Linked DNA regions of Saccharomyces cerevisiae S288C. Changing the gene in region 4 together with the main gene of any one other region gives a genetic interaction. Each region holds a gene or a part of one and is shown on either strand. Other genes may lie near its edges.

Region 1 (6,193 bases), on a different chromosome or scaffold from region 4:
TGCCTGCAACTGCAGGAGCCAACCCTGTTACAAATATAACTGGGACAGTTCAACCTCAAAATTTCCCTTTCTATCCACAACAGCAACCACAACCGGAACAGTCTCAAACACAGCAACCAGTTTTAGGAAACCAATATGCTAACAACCTCAATTTAATTGATATGTAATATCTAGTATAATCAGGTATGTAAGGGAGTACTCAAGTGCATCTTTGGATAGCTATATATAGTTGTAAGGAAGAGCTATGTAATTTTTGCCATTTTGTACATATTTTGCATTTGTCCTATAGTATGTAATACTTACATCTTACTGTCTTCAATTCCTCCCGCCAACAAAAGATTTCGATAGCGCCGCACCATGGAGTTTATATTGTTATTTCCGAGACGACCTATATAAGGGAAAAGACGAAAACTGGGTATTTGATACTTGTCTAAACTTCAATGGACAAATGATATAAAATACAAACAATGAATAGTAACCGATGCCAAACGAATGAGGTGAATAAATTTATTAGTAGTACAGAAAAGGGGCCTTTTACGGGCAGGGACAATACGCTCTCTTTTAACAAAATCGGGAGCAGACTGAATTCACCACCGATTCTGAAGGATAAAATTGAGCTGAAATTTCTACAACACTCAGAAGATTTGAATCAATCACGGTCCTACGTAAATATTCGTCCTAGAACCTTAGAGGATCAAAGTTACAAATTTGAAGCGCCAAATCTAAATGACAATGAAACTTCTTGGGCCAAGGATTTTAGATATAACTTCCCTAAGAATGTTGAACCGCCCATCGAAAATCAAATCGCGAATCTTAATATAAACAACGGGCTACGGACATCTCAGACAGATTTTCCCTTAGGCTTTTATTCACAGAAAAACTTTAACATTGCTTCCTTCCCTGTGGTTGACCATCAGATATTCAAGACAACAGGTTTAGAACATCCTATCAACAGCCACATTGATTCTTTAATTAATGCTGAATTTTCGGAACTGGAAGCCAGTAGTTTGGAAGAAGATGTCCATACAGAAGAGGAAAATTCAGGTACGAGTCTGGAAGATGAAGAAACTGCCATGAAAGGTTTGGCTTCCGATATAATTGAGTTTTGCGATAATAATAGTGCCAATAAAGATGTAAAAGAAAGACTAAACAGTTCAAAGTTTATGGGGCTGATGGGCAGCATTAGTGATGGTTCTATAGTTTTAAAGAAGGATAACGGTACAGAAAGAAACCTTCAAAAACACGTAGGTTTTTGTTTTCAGAATTCAGGAAACTGGGCTGGTCTTGAGTTCCATGATGTTGAAGACAGAATTGCTTAACGGGCCTTGAAATTTCTTTAATTTAAACCATGAATTTCAGATATATAACACTTTTTAACCACTTTCAAGAGAAAACAGTATTAAATTACATACTGCGTTCACAGCTATACGTAAAAAGAGTGACAAGTGAAGAATAAACGTCATTTTGAAAAAGGAATTAGAAGTCTGTCATTTCAACTGAGTTTTTGACGGAGGAATTATCATTATCGGGTTCTCCAATAAAACTTAGCTTGTTACTACTTCTTTTACTTTTTTTTTCTCGTGTTCGATGTCCACTTTCATCTGTGAGACTATTATTCCCAGCATTGTCTTTCTGGAACTTAGTTGTCGTTTTAAATTTCCTCATGTTTAAACTAGAATCGTCGCCACTATCTTCTGCTTGCCCCCGGTTCGTAATTTTATGTGTACTTTTTTTCTGTTCATGCTGTCTATCGCTTTTATATACAGGATCACATCTGTTATCAGTAATAACATCATTATCGTTTTCTTCTTCTATACCGAGTAATCCGGCCTTGACATCGCTAACAAAGCTCCAAAGCGACCTGGAGACTGATCCTTGCGAAGGAGATTTTTGGCGAGCTCCAGGTGCTTCATTATCGTACTGTTGCGCGGACGACTCGCTATTACTAGTCGGTGTCCCTTCCTGTACCTCAGGCGTACCTGAAAGAGAGTCATCCCAATTCAGAGTTCTTTCAATTTCATGCTGAATGATTTTATCAAACTGATTAAACAGAGCTAATGGTTTGCTCCAAAGTGACTGTTTGGATGAATCTGACGAGTCGTCCCTTTGGCGCCTTTCTTGAATATCTTGCGGAGACACAGATCTTGACTGATTAGTACTTTGATGACCCATGTTCTTTGGTTTACTGACAGAACTAGGAAGGCTGCTGTTACCAGCATTTTCAGTTCGTGATTCCAAAGGTATATTCTGGTAAACCGGTGAAAAAGCCCGGTTTTTAACAGGTGTATTTAGAGAGGGATCCAAATGTTTACTCACTTGCTCCTTGAGTTCATGCAGTTCACGTGCCCGACGAGTATAGTTTTGCTCTTCATGCTGGGTTTGCTTTTTCAAATCTTCAATCTTTTGTTTGCATTCCAGAAGTTCTAACTCTTTTGTAGCGAGAGATTGTAGAAGCGCACTTACATCGACCCCATTTGTTGGTATGGTGGTCGCTATCATACTATTAACCGACTGCGAACTCCCATTTCTAGACCGTCGAAGTCCGCTGGCCATCGCTTGCTCACTAGAAAGTACAGTGGTTGACTCTAATGGGATTCCATAGGATCCCTCAGAATGACTTACTGAAGGTAAGTTGTTTTGAGATTCTGGTGTAGTGGGAACAACCATGGGTTGAATAAGTGATCTTCTCTTGCTCATTGCATTTGGAACTGAGACAGAAGAATGACGAGTTACCACCCTCCTAGCATCTGGCTTGGCTTGTAAGGGATGGTCCTGGTCATTTAATCTGGTAGGCGTCATTAGTCTTTGCGAATGCATGCTTCCCGCACTGGACGTACGATGGTGTTCTAGCCTATATCCATTGGAACTAGCAGAACGAATCTTTCGTCCAGTTTTCCTCACAGGTGACATCGAAATTATACTATTTCGGGTACTGGTGTCCACATCCAAATCCTTCTCATTAGACTCTATAAACTCGTCAAATTTATTCATATCAGTGCCCTAGGAGATAGATTTAATTATCCTCGGATCCATGTAGTGGTAATTGAGAAAAGCACAGTTAGTATTGGCCTTTTTCCTTACCTATTATATTGAACTTTACAACTTGTACCCTTCATCACCTTTGGAATCACGCGGCACGTCTTCTGGGGACTTGGCGACGCGGTTGTTGATAGTAAACTACAAGCAAGCATTCCTTTAAAATACGAAACAATAAGATATAGAAAAGCAACAGGGCTCGTTCTATAAAGTAATTGTTTTGCTTGATTTGTGATACTTACACTTATTAACAAATTCACAGTAATTTTTCAGGAAAAGTTAGAGCCCGTTTGCTTCAATTTGCACCTAGAAAATAACTCAAACATGGCTGGATTCAGCTTCGCCAAGAAATTCACTCACAAGAAACATGGAAAGACGCCTTCTGATGCTTCTATCTCTGACCAATCTAGAGAAGCTTCACTGTCAACTCCTCCAAATGAAAAATTTTTCACAAAACAAGAAACGCCTCAGAAAGGGCGTCAATTTTCACAAGGTTACCATTCTAATGTTAATAAAACTAGTTCACCACCTATGTTTGCCAGAAAACAGGTATCCGAATCAAGGATTCAACCGAGCGCAGTACCACCGCAACAGCGAAATGTCTCAGGACCGTCCACTACTCTCCATAAGCAGCTTTCAAAACAGAGAGAATATACCGTATGGAATAGAATCAAGTTACAGAATTCTCCTTTTCCACGTTATAGACATGTTGCTTCAGCATATGTTACAGACAAGAACCAGATATATGTTATTGGGGGACTTCATGACCAATCTGTGTACGGCGATACATGGATATTAACGGCCTTCGATAATGCCACCAGATTTTCCACTACAACGATAGACATAAGTGAAGCTACACCACCACCAAGGGTAGGCCACGCTGCTGTATTATGCGGGAATGCCTTTGTTGTATTTGGCGGTGACACACACAAAGTCAATAAGGAAGGTTTGATGGACGATGACATATACCTTTTGAATATTAATTCCTATAAATGGACAGTCCCGGCACCCGTGGGACCACGTCCATTGGGAAGGTACGGTCATAAAATTTCGATTATCGCCACAACTCAAATGAAAACAAAACTGTACGTGTTTGGTGGTCAATTTGATGACACCTACTTCAACGACTTGGCTGTTTACGACTTATCTTCTTTTAGAAGACCGGACTCTCATTGGGAATTTTTGAAACCAAGGACCTTTACACCACCACCTATTACCAATTTTACTATGATATCATACGATTCTAAACTATGGGTATTTGGTGGCGATACCTTACAAGGTTTAGTAAATGATGTGTTTATGTACGACCCTGCAATAAATGATTGGTTTATCATTGATACCACGGGTGAAAAGCCTCCTCCAGTTCAAGAACATGCTACTGTAGTCTACAACGATCTGATGTGTGTTGTAGGCGGGAAAGATGAGCATGATGCTTATTTGAACTCCGTGTATTTCCTAAACTTGAAATCGCGTAAATGGTTTAAATTACCTGTATTTACGGCTGGAATTCCGCAAGGCCGTTCTGGGCATTCTTTAACATTATTAAAAAATGATAAAATTTTGATTATGGGAGGAGATAAATTTGATTACGCTAGAGTCGAGGAGTACGACTTGCATACCTCTGATATTGATATGCAAAGAGGTACAATTGTTTATACGCTAGACTTGGCCCGCATAAAGGACCTTTGTCCAGGCGTAATGGATGTTCCAACTGATACGCCAACTCCGAGAAATGGTAATCTTGACCTGGCGACGCCCGTTACCCCAACCTCTCATCAAACTAAAAATATGAACGTACCAATTTCAGCAGCTCCTCTAGCTTCCGCTCCATCACCTGCACCAAAAGATTTTTCAGATGCTGATCGCCTCAACAGGGAGGTACACAATCGAAATGTGTCAACAGAACACCAAAATCAGAGCCACCCAGTAAATTCTGAATCTCACTTGATTGCTGAGCCTAACATTTTGACTCCATATGTTCCATCTGAAAGCTCACAAACGCCGGTTATGAAAATAACTTCCAACAAACCATTTGATACGCCTACTATCCAGAAAGAACCTGATCTTTCTGAAACTATGGATCCAACAGTTGGAAATCAGCGCATCCCATCTTCAATCTATGGAGATAATCTCACCCCTGCAAACCAAATAAAGAATAACTCCCCAATATTAGAGACGCTTCCAAGTAATGAGATAAAAACGCCCCAAAATGGTAATATAGAGGAAATAAAACATCTTCCTGACGCTGATGAAAAAATAGATTCCACGACGACCTTCGACCAAGAGATAAACGGGGACAAACTAGGCACATCTTCGATGTCCAAGGTTGAAGAGGACGGCAATGTTGCTGACGAAGACGACGAAATCGGTGTGGCTCAAATGGCGAGCTCCCCATCCAAAGATCAGTTCAAAATAAAGCATTATAATGAATCTTCAGAATTATCACAGAATAATACGGAGATCGACAAACTGTCCGAGCCTGTGGATATTACAATAAAGAAAAGCGACACCGCGGGCCATGATAGTGCTAACCATGTTATTGATGCAAGTGATGAAAAAAACGTGTCCCCAATGGGAGACGTTCCAACTGATACGAAAAATGAAGAAGCTAGCGTTCCTATAAATAGAGATGCTACTACCGAAGTCGTAGATAGGGCACTATTTGAGAAATTAAGATCGGAATTGCAAAGTTTGAAAGAATTGACGCACGAAAAGGCGCTTGAAGCCGGAGCTCACATAAAGGAATTAGAGACGGAGCTATGGCAGTTAAAATCCCAGAAGAATTCTGGGACAACGAAAGAAATAGATGAATTGGATTCCGTCAGACTGCAATCAAAATGTGAAATACTAGAGGCAGATAATCATTCCTTGGAAGATAAAGTTAATGAGCTAGAAGAGTTGGTGAATAGCAAATTCTTAGACATAGAGAATCTAAATGAAGTTATACAATTTCAGAACGAAAAAATTAAATCCTTAGAACTAGAGCCTAATTACAAAGAAAAACTTGAAGAACTACAGATAGAACATGAGAATTTGAGTAGAGAAAATGAAAGGTTGAAAAATGAAAGCAAACAACATAACGAAGATATAATCAATAATGTTGCGAATTACTCGTCACAGTTAGGCTCATTGATCAGTCATTGGAAAGAAAACAGAG
Region 2 (5,166 bases), on a different chromosome or scaffold from region 4:
TGTGATCAATTTAAGATACCTATATGTGTAACCGTATTATGTAATTATGAAGTATAAGTCGTTGAAAGACTTATACTTTTTAGGCGTAATATCAGATGGAATCAAAGAAATTATAGAAAACAGTAGATCAGAGATCCTGCCTTTGGAATTCTGTAATTCAACATATGGAAAAATTGATGCGAAATCACAAGAGTACAGGGATAATTTGGTAATGTATCTCACTAGTTACCATTGTTTTGCTACGCGTACTATCTCGTTTCAATCACCTCTTCTATAATATTACTAAAAAATGTTCATATGTTATATGGCGTACCGATAAAGTTATTGCATTTCTCATGCGATTTTAACTTCCTTTTCAAGTCAAGGATACTTTGTGCAAGCGTAAATCCTTGCTCAATCTCCTCTGCTCAAAATGAAAAAAAAAAAAACGCAGAATCATATGCAGGATGCAATATTGCTTAAATGATTCTATATTTTGCACTTATGTGTGAAGAGTGTAATTTTTGATCTTCCATTTTAATGTTATGCACATAGAGCTGAAATTAAATGCGTCATATATAATTATTATGAGTGAGTGGATTTTGAGATAATTATTGGGAATTCATTATTGCTTGAGATAATATTATTACTTATACAGAATACACTAGAAGTGCTCCTCGGGGACATAGAGATCCATAAAAGGGAATCGATAATTCTACACATTAATCTGTTTTATTTCTTTATCTGTTTTACACGTTTTCATTCATTATCTTATTACAAAATCAGCCCTTGCGCTTCATGTTCCATTATACTCGCAGACTGTTTCTCATCATTTATCTCATCTTTAACTCCATTCAGTATATTATCTTAATAACGCGACTACTAGTAGTGAATAATGGTCAATTTTTACTTCAGAAACTTCCCTTGATTTCATTCATAGATGTTATTTCATTGTCAATTTTTACTCTTACTCACCGATTTGAATGACAGTAAAGAACTTTGCTCAATTAATATTATATTTGTTGTTATCGTCTAACGCTGTAAGTATATGGTACTATCATAAGAACCTCAGTAGTGGAATATGGTTGTTTCTTGTGCTGACATGATTCCGGATGGCCTGTAGGAAAGTATCCAAGATTTTTATTATCAGATACCGGTATGCATTCCATAATGCCAGAGTTTGCGTTCTTACGTCAAAGAACAATGATGCTACGGAGCGCAAGAAAGTGACGTGGCCAACTATCAGCGCGCTAGGATATGTATGCACTGCCGAAAGGCTGAAGCGTATCGTACATTAATTCATAAAGAGAAAGAAATCTCAACCCTGAATTTAGGATAGCGAAGTGCAATAAGAAAAACTTTACCATTGTTTTCAGGATGAATTCTATATCAGCCTGTTTATATAAACAATTTGACAATAGTGCGTAAAGCTAAAAAAGGAAGCATGCCCTTTGTTCCTTATCGGGTGGAGAGGGCCGCACTTAATCTCGAGCGGATATCAGGTACCAAAAGCCTAATTGAAGCAGGCAAATTTTTTTTCCCTATTTTCTTTTATTTGAGTGTGTACATACTAATATAAATTTGATCAAATAATGAATGCGATTAAAAATCAATATTGGCAAATGGAAAAAAATCTAATAGCGGCTAATAGTGAGACTTACATCGCTATAGATTGGTAATTAAACGAATTAAATAATAACAATTGAAAAAAAAAAAACTATCATGAGAGAATATACCAGTAAAAAAGAACTAAAGGAAGAGATTGAAAAAAAATATGAAAAATATGATGCAGAATTTGAAACAATCTCTGAATCTCAAAAAGACGAAAAAGTTGAAACAGTGGATAGAACACCCTCTGAAAACCTCTCTTATCAATTGGGCTGGGTTAATTTATTATTAGAGTGGGAAGCAAAGGAAATTGCTGGGTATAATGTGGAAACTCCTGCGCCTGGTTATAAATGGAACAATTTAGGAGGATTATACCAGTCATTTTATAAAAAATACGGAATCTACTCCATTAAGGAGCAAAGAGCCAAGCTGAGAGAGGCCGTAAACGAGGTCTATAAATGGATATCTACTTTATCTGATGATGAGCTCTTTCAAGCGGGAAATAGAAAATGGGCTACAACTAAAGCTATGTGGCCTGTGTATAAATGGATCCATATCAACACGGTTGCTCCTTTCACAAACTTTAGAGGAAAAATTAGAAAATGGAAGAGACTAGTGCCTGAAGAACAACGCATAAAAAGGAGGAAGATATAATGAGAAAGTTGTATATGGCCGTCTATTTTTTTTCTTGCAGGATTTAGAAACTACCACAGGAAAACCTTTTTTAATATCATATTTTTTGATATTATTATATTTGAGAAATGAATCTCGATTATTATGAGTCAATTTAACAAAACCTCATATAATGTACAGCAGTATAAAGACAAAACTCTCTTACGCTTACCATAGCCTCAATAACATGTCACAATACGAACTTTTTATGTTCTTCCCATATATTTTATTGTACTCTACACACACAGTATTGATCATATAGTTAATTTACCTTACTATACGCTAACCTTTAAAGCAACAAAGATATAGACGATACCATACATGAATGTCGATCAGAGACGTATGGTATAGCTTGTGTCACATTCTGCTATCGTATATGGTATACATGGCACATACTTTAAATTTTAAAGTAATGTCACTTGATTAAGATCTTTCCTATACGTCAAGGTCTCGAGATAAAACTTTATGTCTCAAATAATACATGCTAGGCATATAATGACCCATTTTCTGGAGTTGATGTACTCAAGACATTGGTTAAATATCAATCACGCATGATGATAGTGCGCCCTATTATAACCCATTTTTGTCATCGTCATCACGCTTCATCACCTGAGAAAAGTAACATACAAACTCAACGCCTACTAAGATTAATACATCAAAAACGATATCGTTGCCATGTACGTGCCCTAACTGCAGAAGAGAACTTCAACACTTGGACTAAAATTCACATGAAATTCTCCTAACATTCTAACATCGGTGACATCATTCCAAACCTCTTTGTAAAAGAATATATGAACAACATATGCATTAGAATAACGTGCCGTTAATTTTGCTCGAATTAACTTACCCCAGACTTGACAAAAATCTAAAAACTAACTACTCAGAAACACAAGCAAGCCTTGTGCATAAGAAAGATGTAAATCCATAGCATCAGCAGTTTCGAACTTGATACACCTCCAATTATTGCTTCATAAAGAATACATCTCCGTCTGGTAATGCGATGGCCCCGGTTTAGAGTACCCTTCTTGCGCAAGGTACTTGTGTGATAAGTAGCGCATTTTTTGCACATCACGTATGCTACTTTTGTATTCTTCACTAGCAGGCACTACAGTTGAAATAGAATTGAAGCTTGAAGTGTCGTATGGGTTATTCCGATTAGTTCACCTATTCGCATATTACGATTTTATAATCAGAGTGATATCAATGAGTATTATAACCTTTAAGTCATTGTGCTTATGCTATCTATAAACGTCCAGCGGCACATAATTCATCTATTTATGCAATTCCTACAATAAATGTTGATATCTTCATGGAAATTTCTTAAGCACAAACTTGTATTTAATATCCTGCATAAAGAAAACAGACATCTAGAAAACTTTCATAATTTTCAAAATAATCTTCCTTTATACACACTCTAGCGACCTGGGTTTACATTTCCGTGTATGATTGCTTTATATAATAGGACAATAAAGGAAAGTCGCTAGAAGAGAATATTATAGAAAGCTAAAGTGTTTAGAAACAGATGACTTAGAAGCACCTCTGTAATGTGGAGACAATGGTCTCAAGTTGGCGCATACATCAGTTTGCCACAGCGACAGAAGTATAACCGATTAACTCAACATGAAGGATCCTAGAATATACCGCAAGATTCGATTATCGATCGTCTACTACATCATAGTAGCAGTTAATATTACTAAAATACATGCATCTTTTGTATGATACATGATCAATATATATGATTATATTACTTCTTTCAGTTTAGCATTTTAAGGATATTAGCACCACAGGCAGAATCCCACTTTTTCAGTCTCTCATACTCTCTCAGTTTGATTGAGATTTAACAATATCAGCACATTTTAGAAGATGCTACAGTCAAATACCGCCTCATCTAAAGCATGTTCTACATATATCACAACGTCACGTTGAATAAGGCCATGTGACACGGGTTTCTGCCGGTCGACATTCCAAGCATTGTATTACAATCTTCTTTCATTATGACATACTATTGCATTTTCTAGGGAATATTCAAAGCTTGTCCATACCGAATATAAGCGATCACGTTTTGATTACCATTTTTTTTTTTACCTACTCTGTCTTTAATATTAGAACTATACATGGGTAAGATTGGTAGATGATAGTATATACCTATAATTACAGTTTCATAGAATGGAACTTTTAAATTTTATTCTAACTTTTATGAAATACCTTAAAGCGCAAAATACAGGCTGACAGGATAACCACAATGTCTCAAATCCCACCTGCATTAGCTATTTTTAATAATCAGTTCATTATTTCCATTTTCATGTATACGGTTACTATGCAATTAATGGTAATGCATATTCATTGGCGAAGGCAGATATCTCCAAAAGTTCATTCAGCACGAAAAAATGCACCGCACGCATCAAATGATGTTTTGAATTTTAGCACTTATGTTTAAAGACTATTCGTTGATAATCCATTGTTTCCACTATTTTCAAAATCTTACCAAATGACAGCTGAACTTGCCGGAAAGCAGGGTTTTTGTAAAAGTAATACCGTTCCTTGCAATTGCATACAGGCCATGAGTACTAAAAATACTGTGGTCATTTTATGCAATCACTAGACACTCAAGAAACTGTAGAAAAAGATATCAGCAGAATACAAAAAATCTTTAACGAATGATTGTATTGGAGATTTGGAGTCTTAAATAGCTATGTGGCATTTAATTGAGTCTATTGCATAGTTCCTTTGATTTTATGTACGCCCTCGCCACTATATTTCAATGATATAGTGATTCAACTTATAGAGTACATATCTGCTTAGGAGCAACATACTTGAATCATTTTTGTTAGCTACATTCCTTAAATGGTCGCTAGGGAGAGAATTTCTAAGCTATTCAATGATAAAAGCGGAAACAAATATTATCTT
Region 3 (6,303 bases), on a different chromosome or scaffold from region 4:
TTTCTTCTACAGACGTTCCTTCAGTGCTTACAATATTGATGATTGGGATAATTGGGAGCATCTACCTATCGGTATCGCAGGTACTGCTGCCTTAATTGTTGGTGCCTTCGGTGTTGCATTGGGTATGTGTCAAACCTATTGGGTTGGTGAAATTGGCCGCTTAATTGGTAAATATGGTGGTGACATTGGGTTCGAGTTGGGTGCAAGTTGGGCCTTCATCATCTACAACATCTTAAGACCTTTAGAATTAAAATACTTCGGTCGTTAGGAAGTAATGATTAGGGCGATCATTTCCCCGTGCACATTTCACGTCATGTATCATAGATGCAATTTCATGTAAACTATTTAGACATCTCATTTAATAAAAATAGCTACAAACTGTATTTTACAATATTAGTAACATATCAAAGATAATCTCTATGGTATATACAAAACTTCAAAAATGCCAAGACAATTTGCACGGCTGCGACCTAATTGAGACTTTGTGGCCTGCATATCAGTCTTACAATAAAAGCCAAAAAGAAAAAAAAAAAGTAAGAATGCACAGGTGACTAGTGGTTATGTGACTATGTGAACGTAAAGAGAACGAGATGTAACCCGGCAACCCGGCTAGAGAGGTTGTTTAGCATGCGAGGTATTAGACTCCTTGTCAAAAAATTAATTAAAATATTTATTAGTTAATTTATTAGTTGCAAAGTCATTGATAACAGCGTGACTCTTCCCGGAAATTCTTTCATTTCGGCATTTCGAAGCGAGACCGCAAAACACGTGTACGCACGTAGCCAACGATTGAAAAAAAAAGCTTCCAAGTGAGTCACCTCTACCGTTGGAACTTATAAAATATTTTTGCAGAATATACTCGCCTGAAAGTCCATTTATACGCAGTGAACTGCAAGTATTTACCGTCTAAACTTTGGCATTTTACTCCTATTAACGGTTTGAATCTTTGAAAATAGAAAAGAAAGGATAGGTTTCTAAAAAATTCAATAGAAAAATGGATTTGGTGAACCATCTAACCGATAGACTACTGTTTGCAATCCCAAAGAAAGGTCGTTTATATTCTAAAAGTGTTTCTATTTTGAATGGTGCTGATATTACCTTTCACCGCTCTCAAAGATTAGACATTGCACTAAGCACAAGCTTACCTGTAGCGTTGGTCTTTCTGCCCGCTGCAGATATTCCAACTTTTGTTGGTGAAGGTAAATGTGATCTTGGTATAACTGGTGTTGACCAAGTTCGTGAATCTAACGTCGACGTAGACTTAGCAATCGATTTGCAATTTGGTAACTGTAAATTGCAGGTACAAGTCCCCGTAAATGGCGAGTATAAAAAGCCAGAACAGTTAATTGGCAAAACCATTGTTACCAGTTTCGTGAAACTTGCTGAAAAATACTTTGCCGATTTGGAAGGTACTACTGTTGAAAAAATGACCACAAGGATAAAGTTTGTCAGTGGTTCCGTGGAGGCATCATGTGCTCTGGGAATTGGTGATGCTATTGTAGATCTTGTAGAGAGTGGTGAGACAATGAGGGCAGCAGGTTTAGTTGATATTGCCACCGTCCTAAGCACAAGTGCCTACCTAATAGAATCAAAGAACCCAAAGAGCGATAAGAGTTTGATTGCTACTATCAAATCAAGAATTGAAGGTGTCATGACCGCTCAAAGGTTCGTTTCATGTATTTATAACGCACCTGAAGACAAGCTGCCTGAACTGTTGAAGGTGACGCCTGGCCGTAGAGCACCAACCATTTCCAAAATTGACGATGAAGGATGGGTTGCTGTTAGTTCCATGATTGAGAGAAAAACGAAGGGTGTTGTTTTAGATGAATTGAAAAGACTCGGCGCATCTGATATCATGGTTTTCGAAATTTCTAATTGTCGTGTATAAGATAGAACAGAAAAAGGGAAGCCAAATCCCGATTAATTTTGTATTTTTTATAGGCAATAATTTGATAGAGTTCTATCTTATTCTAAGTTACCCCTCATGACTTCCCAAGTGTGTTTTGAGGTTATCTCTGTGAATATTTTTTCTTTTTTTTTGCTACTTCCCCAGGAAGTTAAATCTTCGTAGCATATTTGTCAGCTTTACTACCGTCTTCATGCTCATGAAACCTTCTTCTTCAACCCCCTTCATTTCTCCAATTTTCGAAAACTGGAGCTACCCATAAATATTCGGAGTTTTGTAGGTATTTTTATTTTGGAGAAAACCTGTACAAACTCTCCCCAGGGAGCATAGATTGGGGATCGTAACGCATAAAGCTGTCTAGAATGCATTTTTCCATGCTACGTCGATTTTTTGCCCGGAAGAGGCTGACGTAGCGCTGGAAGGTACCGACAACTATGCCTATTGTGGAGATGGGCGGCAAACTCCTGTCGCAGAGTGGGGGCGGGGAAAGGTTCTTTTTGCCGTGGAATGAAGCGCATAAAAGAAAAACAGTATGCCATATTAAGTCTTTTTAAGGGGAAAGGGGCTGCTACCATGAGGTCTTTTACCAAAAATGTGTATCAGCTACGCTTCTCAATGAAGGGGCCAAGAAGTTCGTTCTATCCAACAGGAAATATTTCGATATTGCAACGGTCTTTCTATATCTTGCATATTCTTCTTCAGGTTGAGTTCCTTTATATATACTGCATTGCGTAATAAGCAACACAGGGCCCATCCGTTCAACAGAAGAAAACTAAAGCTTTTCAAACATAGCCTTTCCAGTTCAGTGCATATTTATAGAAGGTAAACCTGCATACAATACGGTTAAAACAATAGGAACGAAAAGAAAGCTAGACGGGAAAGCAGTTACTAAAGGCAGGGTTGACGGGACGTTTAAAGAGAGAAGTCTGGTTTATAAAACCTTTTAGTAGTAAAAAAGGAAAAGAAACAAGGAAGGTTGGCATTCTGTTTGATTGAGGAGAAAGGAACCACATTGGACTTTTTTTTTTCTTTCTGTAAGGTATAGTTTTTAGTAGGCTGAACATCAAAAAGATCTCCGTTGTACTCAGAAACAAGTTTAATAGGAACGGGTACAGATATCTTGTCAAAATTTTATTCTTACAGCCCAAGTTTATTAGGATTTCATCAACGCAACAATGTATATAAAGGCAGAACAGAAACCCCAACAGTTTGAGAGGAAGAATGAAAAACTAGACAGAAATAAAAACCAGCAGCTACCAGATCTTGAAACAGATTTCAAGGGTTACAGAGTGAATTCGGACCTATACAACAAAGAACGAGATGGAAGTACGGAAGAGACTTTAAACTCTTTGAAGTTTTTACATAAACCTCAGAGAGTAACTCAAATGAGAGCGAACAGGTTCCCAGAGGAAGAAGTGCAAAGAAACACTGATTTAAACAAAAGAATTTTCTCCGCAGGGAATGATGAAAACGTTGATAATGAGAGCGGCTGGTCAAAAATTGCCGCTGCCAAGAATCACACTTCCGTAGAATCATTAAATGGCAGTACGAGACCCCCATTCAAAATAGAGCTGCCTCCCCTTTCCCCCAAATCCACCGTACCAAAATCTTTTCAAGCAGAATATCCCGAAGCTAAGTCACCTGGCAATGATATGAATTTTGAATATGATGAAGAAATTCTAATTCCATTTGCGCCACCTGTATATAAAAAGTCAGGTGAACTATTGAAGAGCTCATTGAAGAGAAGATCAAAATCATTACCTACAACCCCAGGTATAAGGAGCGGGAATGGTGTCCAAGCAAGAGACGGTAGTCCGATGTTGATTAGGAGTAAGAGTGTTCACTTTGATCAGGCGGCACCTGTAAAATATTTTGCTGAGGATGAAAGCCCTATAAACGTTAATAAAACTGAACAACACGATAATTGTCTAAGCTTTAAGCATAAGCCAGTGAATTTAATGGTGGACCCGGAAGAAGAGACAAAAATGCTATCATCTGGATTAGAAACGACATCCATAGATGATGACTTGACGACAGTTGCGCCAAAAGGCTTCGCACATCCTGCTAAAATTTCGAATCCAAACAATGGTAAAGGCACCAACAATACAAAATTAAGAAAAAGTAAAAGATTTCAGAACCTCCTAAAGAACAGGACCGACATGCCACCATCAAAATCAAATAAAAAATTCGTTAATGGTGGCGGTGCTCATGAAATTTCAGATCGTAATTCAAAAAATTACCATGTTGTTGGATTATACAGCAAGAACTTCCCCATTTTAAGCAACAAGAATCCTAAAAGTTTAAAGCTGAACATTTTTATCAATTTATCACAAAATAAGAAAGTTTTTCTACAAGAATTGTCATTATACATCCATAGAGACAACAATTACTTTTCAAATTCCTCCTCATTTTATAATATTCCCAATAGCCACAATGGTAATGACTGTAATGGTGTGGCCAAGGGTTATAACGCTGGCTGTACAAGATTAATTGCTGGAAGGATACTAGTGAAAAACATTTTCTATGATAAAAGAGTGGTGGTACGATATACGTGGGATAGTTGGAGAACAACACATGAAGTGGAATGCGTTTACATCAGTGATGGCGATGGAATATTGCCGGGCACTAACATGGACATTTTCCACTTCATTATCGATGATGTCAGCAAAGTGGATCCTCGCGGCAAGTTAGAATTTTGCATTCATTATTCTACACGTAACGACTATGAGCGCGAAGAGTACTGGGACAACAACAACGGGAATAATTATAAGGTGGATGTTGTAATGGATGGCTTTAACGATCCCTTCGCGGCGGCAGCATGAAGGCAACCAGAAGGAAGGAGATGAAGAATGGACATAAAAAGCAAAATGACTTGCTAGATCTTGGCCTGAGTTACTCTCATGATTGGGACCGAACTCCGATAAATAACTCTAAAACATGCTAGAATATTTCAAGTAAATATACATAAATCACAAATAAGCAAATAAACAGATAAATATCTCACAAGAAATCGGGAGCCGATCTTCGATGTGTGTGGGCGTATATACAAATGTGCATTCGGCACGTAAAAGACTGGTAAAGGCTACCGTCCTTCAGTGAGCATTTTTTACATTCATTCAACGCTATACAGCTCTTACTGTGCGACGGAAACGCGACAAAATGTGAAGAGAAAACTAGGGGTTGCTATGACACGACCACGGAAGGCCTAAAAAGTTAAGTGACAGAAATCGTCATTGGTAAAAAAAACCCCGAACATGCCGATAAAGACTTGCTTATTCACCTACGATGACTTCAGAAGTGCGCCTATATTTCTTTACTTTTGAACACCCTTCCACCGCCCATTTAGAGAGAGCTATTTTTGTGCCTTCACTTCCGGCAGAGGTTATATTTTTTTTTTTTTTTTTTTTTTGCATACTACTCCTACTTCTTTCTACAGTCTCATCCCGACGCTTCAGTTTGAAATGTAAGGGACTGCGGCATTTGACTGAAAGAAGGGAGAATGGATGGTTTACTTTACTTTTTACGTAATGAAAAAAAAAATGATTGCTGTATTAGGACATCCCTGTTCTTTTATGTGGTAGCCTATATCCGATAACTGTTCAGCTATAAGACGTGAAGAGAGATTTTTTGGTACCCCTTATGCATTCAATTAAATAGAGAATTAGATATTTCTACCGATGTGCATTTTGTATATAAAGAAGTAGGAATCCCTTCTACAACGACAGAGGTAGACATACTGCTTGGAAACATTCTTTTCGTCCTTTTACAGAATTCTACATAGAAATAATAAAAACAAACAATAGCTTTACTACACAGTACACACTACAATGCAAGATTTAGAGATTTTTTTGAGTATTTTCGCTTTCATTTTCGTTTTCTACTTTGGTGCTCATAGAACAGTCATGAACAGAAACAAGAGCGATGTTCCTTACTTGCAGTGATTTAAATCAGCTAATCTGCTTACTGCCGCCAAGAGAGGTATGCAAAGTCAGTTCTACCTAGTCTGGCTTAGCGTTTTACTATTTACGAAGTTGATGTTCTGTTTTCTAATTTATCTTTTTTCTACTCATTCATTTCCACACTACACTTAATATTTTTTCAATAATTTTCGATGTTTTTAATCCGGTTTTCTATTGATGAGCGCCTTCTTAGCTCATACTTAATACACGTTTTTTAAGATTTATACGTTTGACAGCTCACGCTGTTTGACCAAAGTTATTTTCATTTTTATGTTCGTAATTATGTATTTTTGCTATTGTATATGATATACGTCTATATTTAGGCAATTATAATATGATTATAATATAACTTACTACATCTCTAAAACATGCTGTCTAGCCCTTCCATCGCAAGACTCGGCTAGACATTCGAGGAAGGCACAAAAAGCCACCTATCCC
Region 4 (6,115 bases):
ATAACACACTGATTATCGATAAGCAATATTCTAGCTCACTTTGTCACCGTGAATTTGTCAGCAAGCACCAAAAATGTCGATGCTTTCAATGACTATTACGTATCTTCTCTACTTTTGTGCAAATGTAAATACTAAATGAAAGCCCTATTTTGTGTAGGGTTTACACCGCACAAAGTAAAAAGAAGCGATAAAAATGAAAAAAAGTAGTCAAAATACATACTATCAAAGTAAGGGCATTGGTGAAATACTGCGAGGCTGGCCTTTTCCGCAAATATCTGGGGCAGCGAAGCGAAGGGGCCCGATAGGAACTTTTGGGGCGGGAGCCCTTGCATTGACATGGTTAAGGTTTTACATCCATCATTCTCCCCCTCTCTTGTGGTTTAAAAAAATAAAAGGTGGCCGATTTTTATGTAATATAGAAACGACTTCTGTCCTTCTGTCCTCTGTATTACCTAATTTTCTTTCTCTTGATGGTATTTAACTTTCTAAGCATTATAAGATAATATTAAAGGGAAAGTGTTTCTAGAATGCAATCGAGCTTACCTCAATTTACGTTCAAATGGCCCAAAGGACCCGAAGCAATTATTCTGACAGGCACGTTCGACGACTGGAAAGGTACTTTGCCGATGGTGAAGGACCCCAGTGGCGCCTTCGAAATAACGCTGCCAGTAACGTTTGATAGCCCTAGCAGCAAGTTTTATTTCAAGTTTATTGTTGATGGCCAATGGCTGCCAAGCAAAGACTACAAGGTGAACATCGACGAGGGAGTGGAAAACAACTTTATTACCGAGGAAGACGTAATAAAGCAACGCGAAAATGGCTCTAGCACGCTGGTACCTGAAAGTGCCGGATTAGCTGTTTCAAAGAATGCCCCTCTTATCGAACCAGAAGCTGAAAAACGTGCAAAAAAATTAAGAAAGTTCAAGATCAAGAGAGTGATCAAGACAAATAAACAAACCGGAGAAAGGTCGATATTTTCCCAAGAAGTGGTTGAATTGCCCGATAGCGAGGATGAAACCCAGCAGGTGAACAAAACGGGCAAGAATGCGGATGGCTTAAGCGGTACTACAACGATAATTGAGAATAATGTTGGTGTAAACGAGGAAAAAGCAATCAAGCCGTATGAAGAGAATCACCCCAAAGTTAATCTAGTTAAGAGTGAAGGATATGTTACGGACGGTTTGGGTAAGACGCAATCTTCTGAGTCTAGATTATATGAACTATCGGCCGAAGATCTTGAAAAGGAAGAAGAGGAAGAGGACGAAGATAAAGGCGGCGGTAAGGACACCAGTACAAGTGCAGACGCTGAAGCTTCAGAAGATCAAAATAAGGAACCATTAAGTAAATCCGCTAAATTTGAAAAACCGGAAGAAAAAGTACCTGTAAGCTCAATTACAAGCCATGCTAAAGAGACTTCTGTGAAACCAACCGGCAAGGTTGCGACTGAGACTCAAACTTACGAGACGAAACAGGGCGCTCCTACCGCTGCCGCAAAAAAAATCGAAGCTAAGAAAGCTACTAGACCTTCGAAACCTAAGGGCACGAAAGAAACACCAAATAAAGGTGTCCAAAAGAACCCTGCTAAGAATGGAGGGTTCTTTAAAAAGTTGGCCCAGCTTTTGAAGTGAAAACAATCAGGAGAATACCTAAATATATGACGTACTCGCCATACCTAACTATGTAAAACCTAATTATGTATTAATAACAATACCATGTTGTATGTAAACTCTGATGTAGGATCGCACTTTTGCCGAAAGCACATGCTTGTCTTTGTATTTCGCTTGTACGCCTTTGCTCAGAAAATTCTGTAGGAGTCACGTTTCCCGTTGAAATGCAAAAACCTGAAATTTTTCAGTCTGAAAGAAAAAATTGCGATGAGCATAGATGATAAATTTAACCATACAACAAAGAGAAATCCTTTTCCCCACAGAACATTACCTAAACCCAACAACTTTCTATAATTTGAGATAGAATGTCAGAAACAGAACTGTCGAAAGAAGATGCTGTTACAAAAAAGGATAACGAGGAACAAGTCAAGAAGGCTTTACTCGATCCAACAAAAAAGAGAAAAGCTGAAGATGAAATTGAGATTGACCTGAAAAGCTCCATTCCCCTATCAAAAAAACAGAAACGTCTCTTGAGAAGAGGTAAAGTTACTCTAGAGGAGTTGAATGCGAAGTACAATATCGACCCTAAGTCAATCGAGGAATACAAAGAAGATGCTGAAAAGAAAAAGTCTGGTGCTTCTGAGAAAGACGCCCAGGGTGAAGAATCTACAATCAACACTCCAACAGGAGATGAATCTGGCGAGGTTGTAAAAAAGAAGAAGAAAGATGAAAATAAATATGGTGTTTGGATTGGTAACTTATCCTTCGACACCACAAAGGACGATTTAGTAAGATTTTTTATTGCTAAAACAAAAGACAACGAAGATGAAAAGAGCAGAGTCACCGAACAAGACATAACCAGGTTATCCATGCCTCGTGTTGCTGCCAAGAACTCTAACGCCATGAAAAATAAGGGATTTTGCTACATGTTTTTCAAGAACGTCGAGCAGATGAAAGCGGTCTTAGAATTATCTGAATCTCATTTAAACGGAAGGAATATGCTAATCAAGGACTCCGAAAATTATTCAGGTAGGCCAGACAAGGACGATTTAGTTGCCATGTCCAAAAATCCACCGTCAAGGATTCTATTTGTCGGTAATTTGTCATTCGATGTCACAGATGATCTGTTAAGAAAACACTTCCAACATTGTGGTGATATCGTGAAAATCCGCATGGCAACATTCGAAGATAGTGGTAAATGTAAAGGATTCGCATTTATCGACTTCAAGAATGAAGAAGGATCTACTAATGCATTAAAGGATAAAAGTTGTAGAAAAATTGCCGGAAGGCCATTGCGAATGGAATACGGTGAAGATAGAAGTAAAAGACAAGTTCGTAAGAAGGTTGAAAATGTATCCAGAAACAATTCCTCATCATTTGATATCTCTAACAACAAAGGATACGATCGTGCGGGACAGGATAACGGCAGCAAACCCGAATACAAGCGGTCCAACGCCAACAGACGTCCACCTGTAGATTCCAATAACCGAACTAAGAGCAGTGTAGCTTTAGCCACTGCTCAGAGAGGTTCTGCAGCTATTGTCCCATCACAAGGTAAGAAAGTGAAGTTTGACTAATCAGCGTGAACTGACTGTAGGTGCCACGTATATAATGCGATTATTTCGCTTGTAAATTATTCAATCATTCATGTTTTATATATACATTGTATAACCAATTGCTGCTATTTTTATTTTTTCCATTATTGCTTATCAAGGCACGGGGAGAACGCACGGAAAAAAAAAAAAAAAAGAAGAAAGAAATGAGGTAAACAAGATCTTTAGGAGCGGTTCGCATATTAGTAATACACTGATAATCGCCGTACACTCATAAAATCCTAAACTACTCACCAGGTACCGAAACACTACTGATCCGTTTTTTGGACTGGTTGTTGGCACACTTTCGCTTAAGACACACATTTAGTATTTCAATCCCCATCCGTCGATATCTGAAGGAAATCTAAAAGAAAAGCTGGATAGAGTAATTATTTTGGCCATCGTATGAACTCCAATAGTACCATCGGAAGGACCACCCTTGGAGAATCTGATACGATATCCCTGTCATTCAGTGAACCAAGTAGCAGTCTGAATTCACGATCAACGGATGTTGTCTTCGCATCTACTTCAACTTTAGTACCCCAACAAGGAAGTCTGACCTCATTACCGCCCGTGTCTAGTACAGCTACTCCTACATATTATTCTACAAGCTTAACATATGATGAGACTTTGCATACATCCATTGATGTATCTTCGACAAGTACTTTAGTATCATCTACCGACAGCAGTTCATCGAGCGAGCAAGATACGTATAGTTCCCAATATGACCCAGCTACCTCCTCATACTCAATAATTACACCATCCATGTCCATTTTCTCATCGACGTCACCAATGTCATCATCGTCGTCAATAACGTCGGAATGGTCATCGTTAACATCAACAACACCAACGTTATCGTCATCAGCTACATCGCTGTCATCATCATGGTCGTCGTTATCATCACCATCTTCGTTACTGGTATCGTCCTCGTTGTCATTATCACTATCTTCATCATATTCAGACACTAAATTGTTTTCGTTCGACAGCAGATCTTCTATTTTCTCACCATCAACACCCACCGTAATATCCCCTAGTTACACATACTTGTCTTCCATATCTGCAACTTCATTTCAAATTAGTACCACTTCAGAACTCTCTTCTAGTTGGTTCTCAACAATTTCTTCTCCTTCTACGATATCAAATAAAGATACCACATTCCCAAGTTCCAGTCGGAATACTTCCACATCGTTTTACAGTTCATCGCTTTCATCGACGAACGATTTTTCAACCATAAGCAAATCATCGAAACTCAGTCCATCAGCTTCATCTTCGACAGTTTCCATAAGCACGATTTCCGTGCCAACGTCAAGTTCTGTTAGCTCATCCAGCAGTAAAGTACCTTCAAACCGTCCTTCATCATCATCATCATCAGATGATACAACAAGTGCTTACTCAAGCACGTATACTTTTCAGTCCTTACAATCTACTACTAGCAGCAGTATACCACCCACCACTCAAACACCCAGCACTAGTACGATTTCTACGTCTCCCATACCAACATCCAGTCAGGTCTTCAATACGGTAGCCATTTCAAGCTCCGAAGATTCAAAAACTATTTATTATTTCTATACCCAAACATATGATATTACTGACTCCTCTACAACGTTCGTGACGGGATTACCTACGACCATAGCAGTTGCAAAAAGTGAGGTAACCTCATTTTCCGCTCCATCTTCGACGATCACAGCTGACATGTCTTTCTATCAGCACTGGCTTGATGGCAGTTTGGATAATAACAAAAACCAAGGCACTTCAAAGACAAATACTGGTACCATTGTTGGAAGTGTGGTAGGAAGCGTCGGTGGTATTCTTATATGTGTACTAGTAGTTTGGTTCATGCTGGTTAGAAAAAGGAAGGCAAAGAGGCATTTCAAGGAAAACGATTCCTTCTGTCACGAGATTGGGCGCAGAACGGGATTCCCAACAACTGCCCAAGCAAAAGAGGCGTCACTTCAAGCTCAAGACTCGGGATCACAGCAACGAAACACCGAGACTGCTTCTGCTAATAATCCGTTCAGCAACGAATTCAATTTTAAGGCAAGAGGAAATCCTCCTCCAGTGCCACCACCAAGGAATGTTACCGCAATGAATGGCTCCTTTCAAAATATGCGGAGTAATTTCATGGACCAGGAAAACAGATTTTCCTATGGCTCTTCATTTACATATTCGTCATTGGGTTCATCTACTCAAGGTGGCTTTTCTACTTTATCTTCAAATTCGATACGACTCGGACGTGGTTTAGATAATGACATCTCTCATGATGAGAGAAATACAGTTCAGAACAATTCACAAGGGTTCTTGAGGGAAATTATATGACGATGACTTCAGTCTATTAGTATGATGTTTACTAATTAAGCAAAATCAGCTCTTGCTGAATAACACTACTATTAAAAATCATAAAAACATCTTTATTGCCAATAGTGAAGAACGACAAGGCCTTTTAAAAGGCATAAAAAACAATGATACCATTCTGCAATGAAAAAAAAAGAAAACTTTGTTCTTTGTGTATAAAGAAAATATTTTAGTTCTCCTAAATAAATAAATACTAAATTATACGAAACTCTTTCAGTCTTTTCTCCTGCTTGCTGCTTGAACAGTACTCATGATATTCTATTAATCTTCTGTGGGCGGGGTAACTAAGCCTTCACTGTACTCGGGATTTTGAATAAAAGTCAACTATCCAATCTGGAAGGCATTTTAACATACGCCATTAGGAGCCGCATAGCAAGTCAGAGAACCTCACCTCACCCTATCTTTTTTATTAAAGAAAATGAACTTCCACACGGCAAGAATATCTCAGGTCGGTGTCATTTCTAGGGCTCTACTTTCTTCTGTAAGTAGACGTTGGATTCATGTAACGCCAATAAGTCTTAATAATTCAGGAGGATCACTATTCGGAAGCATTACAGAAAATAA

The links.
Region 1: mutations in NOP13 (region 4) and TDA11 together harm fitness more than expected from each alone (negative genetic interaction), as found in Saccharomyces cerevisiae (one large-scale study listed by BioGRID).
Region 2: mutations in NOP13 (region 4) and IRC4 together harm fitness more than expected from each alone (negative genetic interaction), as found in Saccharomyces cerevisiae (one large-scale study listed by BioGRID).
Region 3: mutations in NOP13 (region 4) and GIP2 together harm fitness more than expected from each alone (negative genetic interaction), as found in Saccharomyces cerevisiae (one large-scale study listed by BioGRID).

The regions. Positions count from the first base shown.
Region 1 is NC_001140.6:414,347-420,539, reverse strand, and holds TDA11 (Tda11p), read right to left. Parts: upstream 2,992-6,193; coding exon 1,477-2,991; downstream 1-1,476. Other genes in the region: YAP1801 (Yap1801p), read left to right, coding at 1-167; PEX18 (Pex18p), read left to right, coding at 468-1,319; KEL1 (Kel1p), read left to right, coding at 3,361-6,193.
Region 2 is NC_001136.10:1,514,211-1,519,376, reverse strand, and holds IRC4 (Irc4p), read left to right. Parts: upstream 1-1,701; coding exon 1,702-2,241; downstream 2,242-5,166.
Region 3 is NC_001137.3:260,477-266,779, reverse strand, and holds GIP2 (Gip2p), read left to right. Parts: upstream 1-3,081; coding exon 3,082-4,728; downstream 4,729-6,303. Other genes in the region: FCY2 (purine-cytosine permease), read left to right, coding at 1-268; HIS1 (ATP phosphoribosyltransferase), read left to right, coding at 995-1,888; YER053C-A (uncharacterized protein), read left to right, coding at 5,734-5,847.
Region 4 is NC_001146.8:304,470-310,584, reverse strand, and holds NOP13 (Nop13p), read left to right. Parts: upstream 1-1,972; coding exon 1,973-3,184; downstream 3,185-6,115. Other genes in the region: MDG1 (Mdg1p), read left to right, coding at 528-1,628; TDA7 (Tda7p), read left to right, coding at 3,605-5,515; mitochondrial 54S ribosomal protein uL22m MRPL22, read left to right, coding at 5,970-6,115.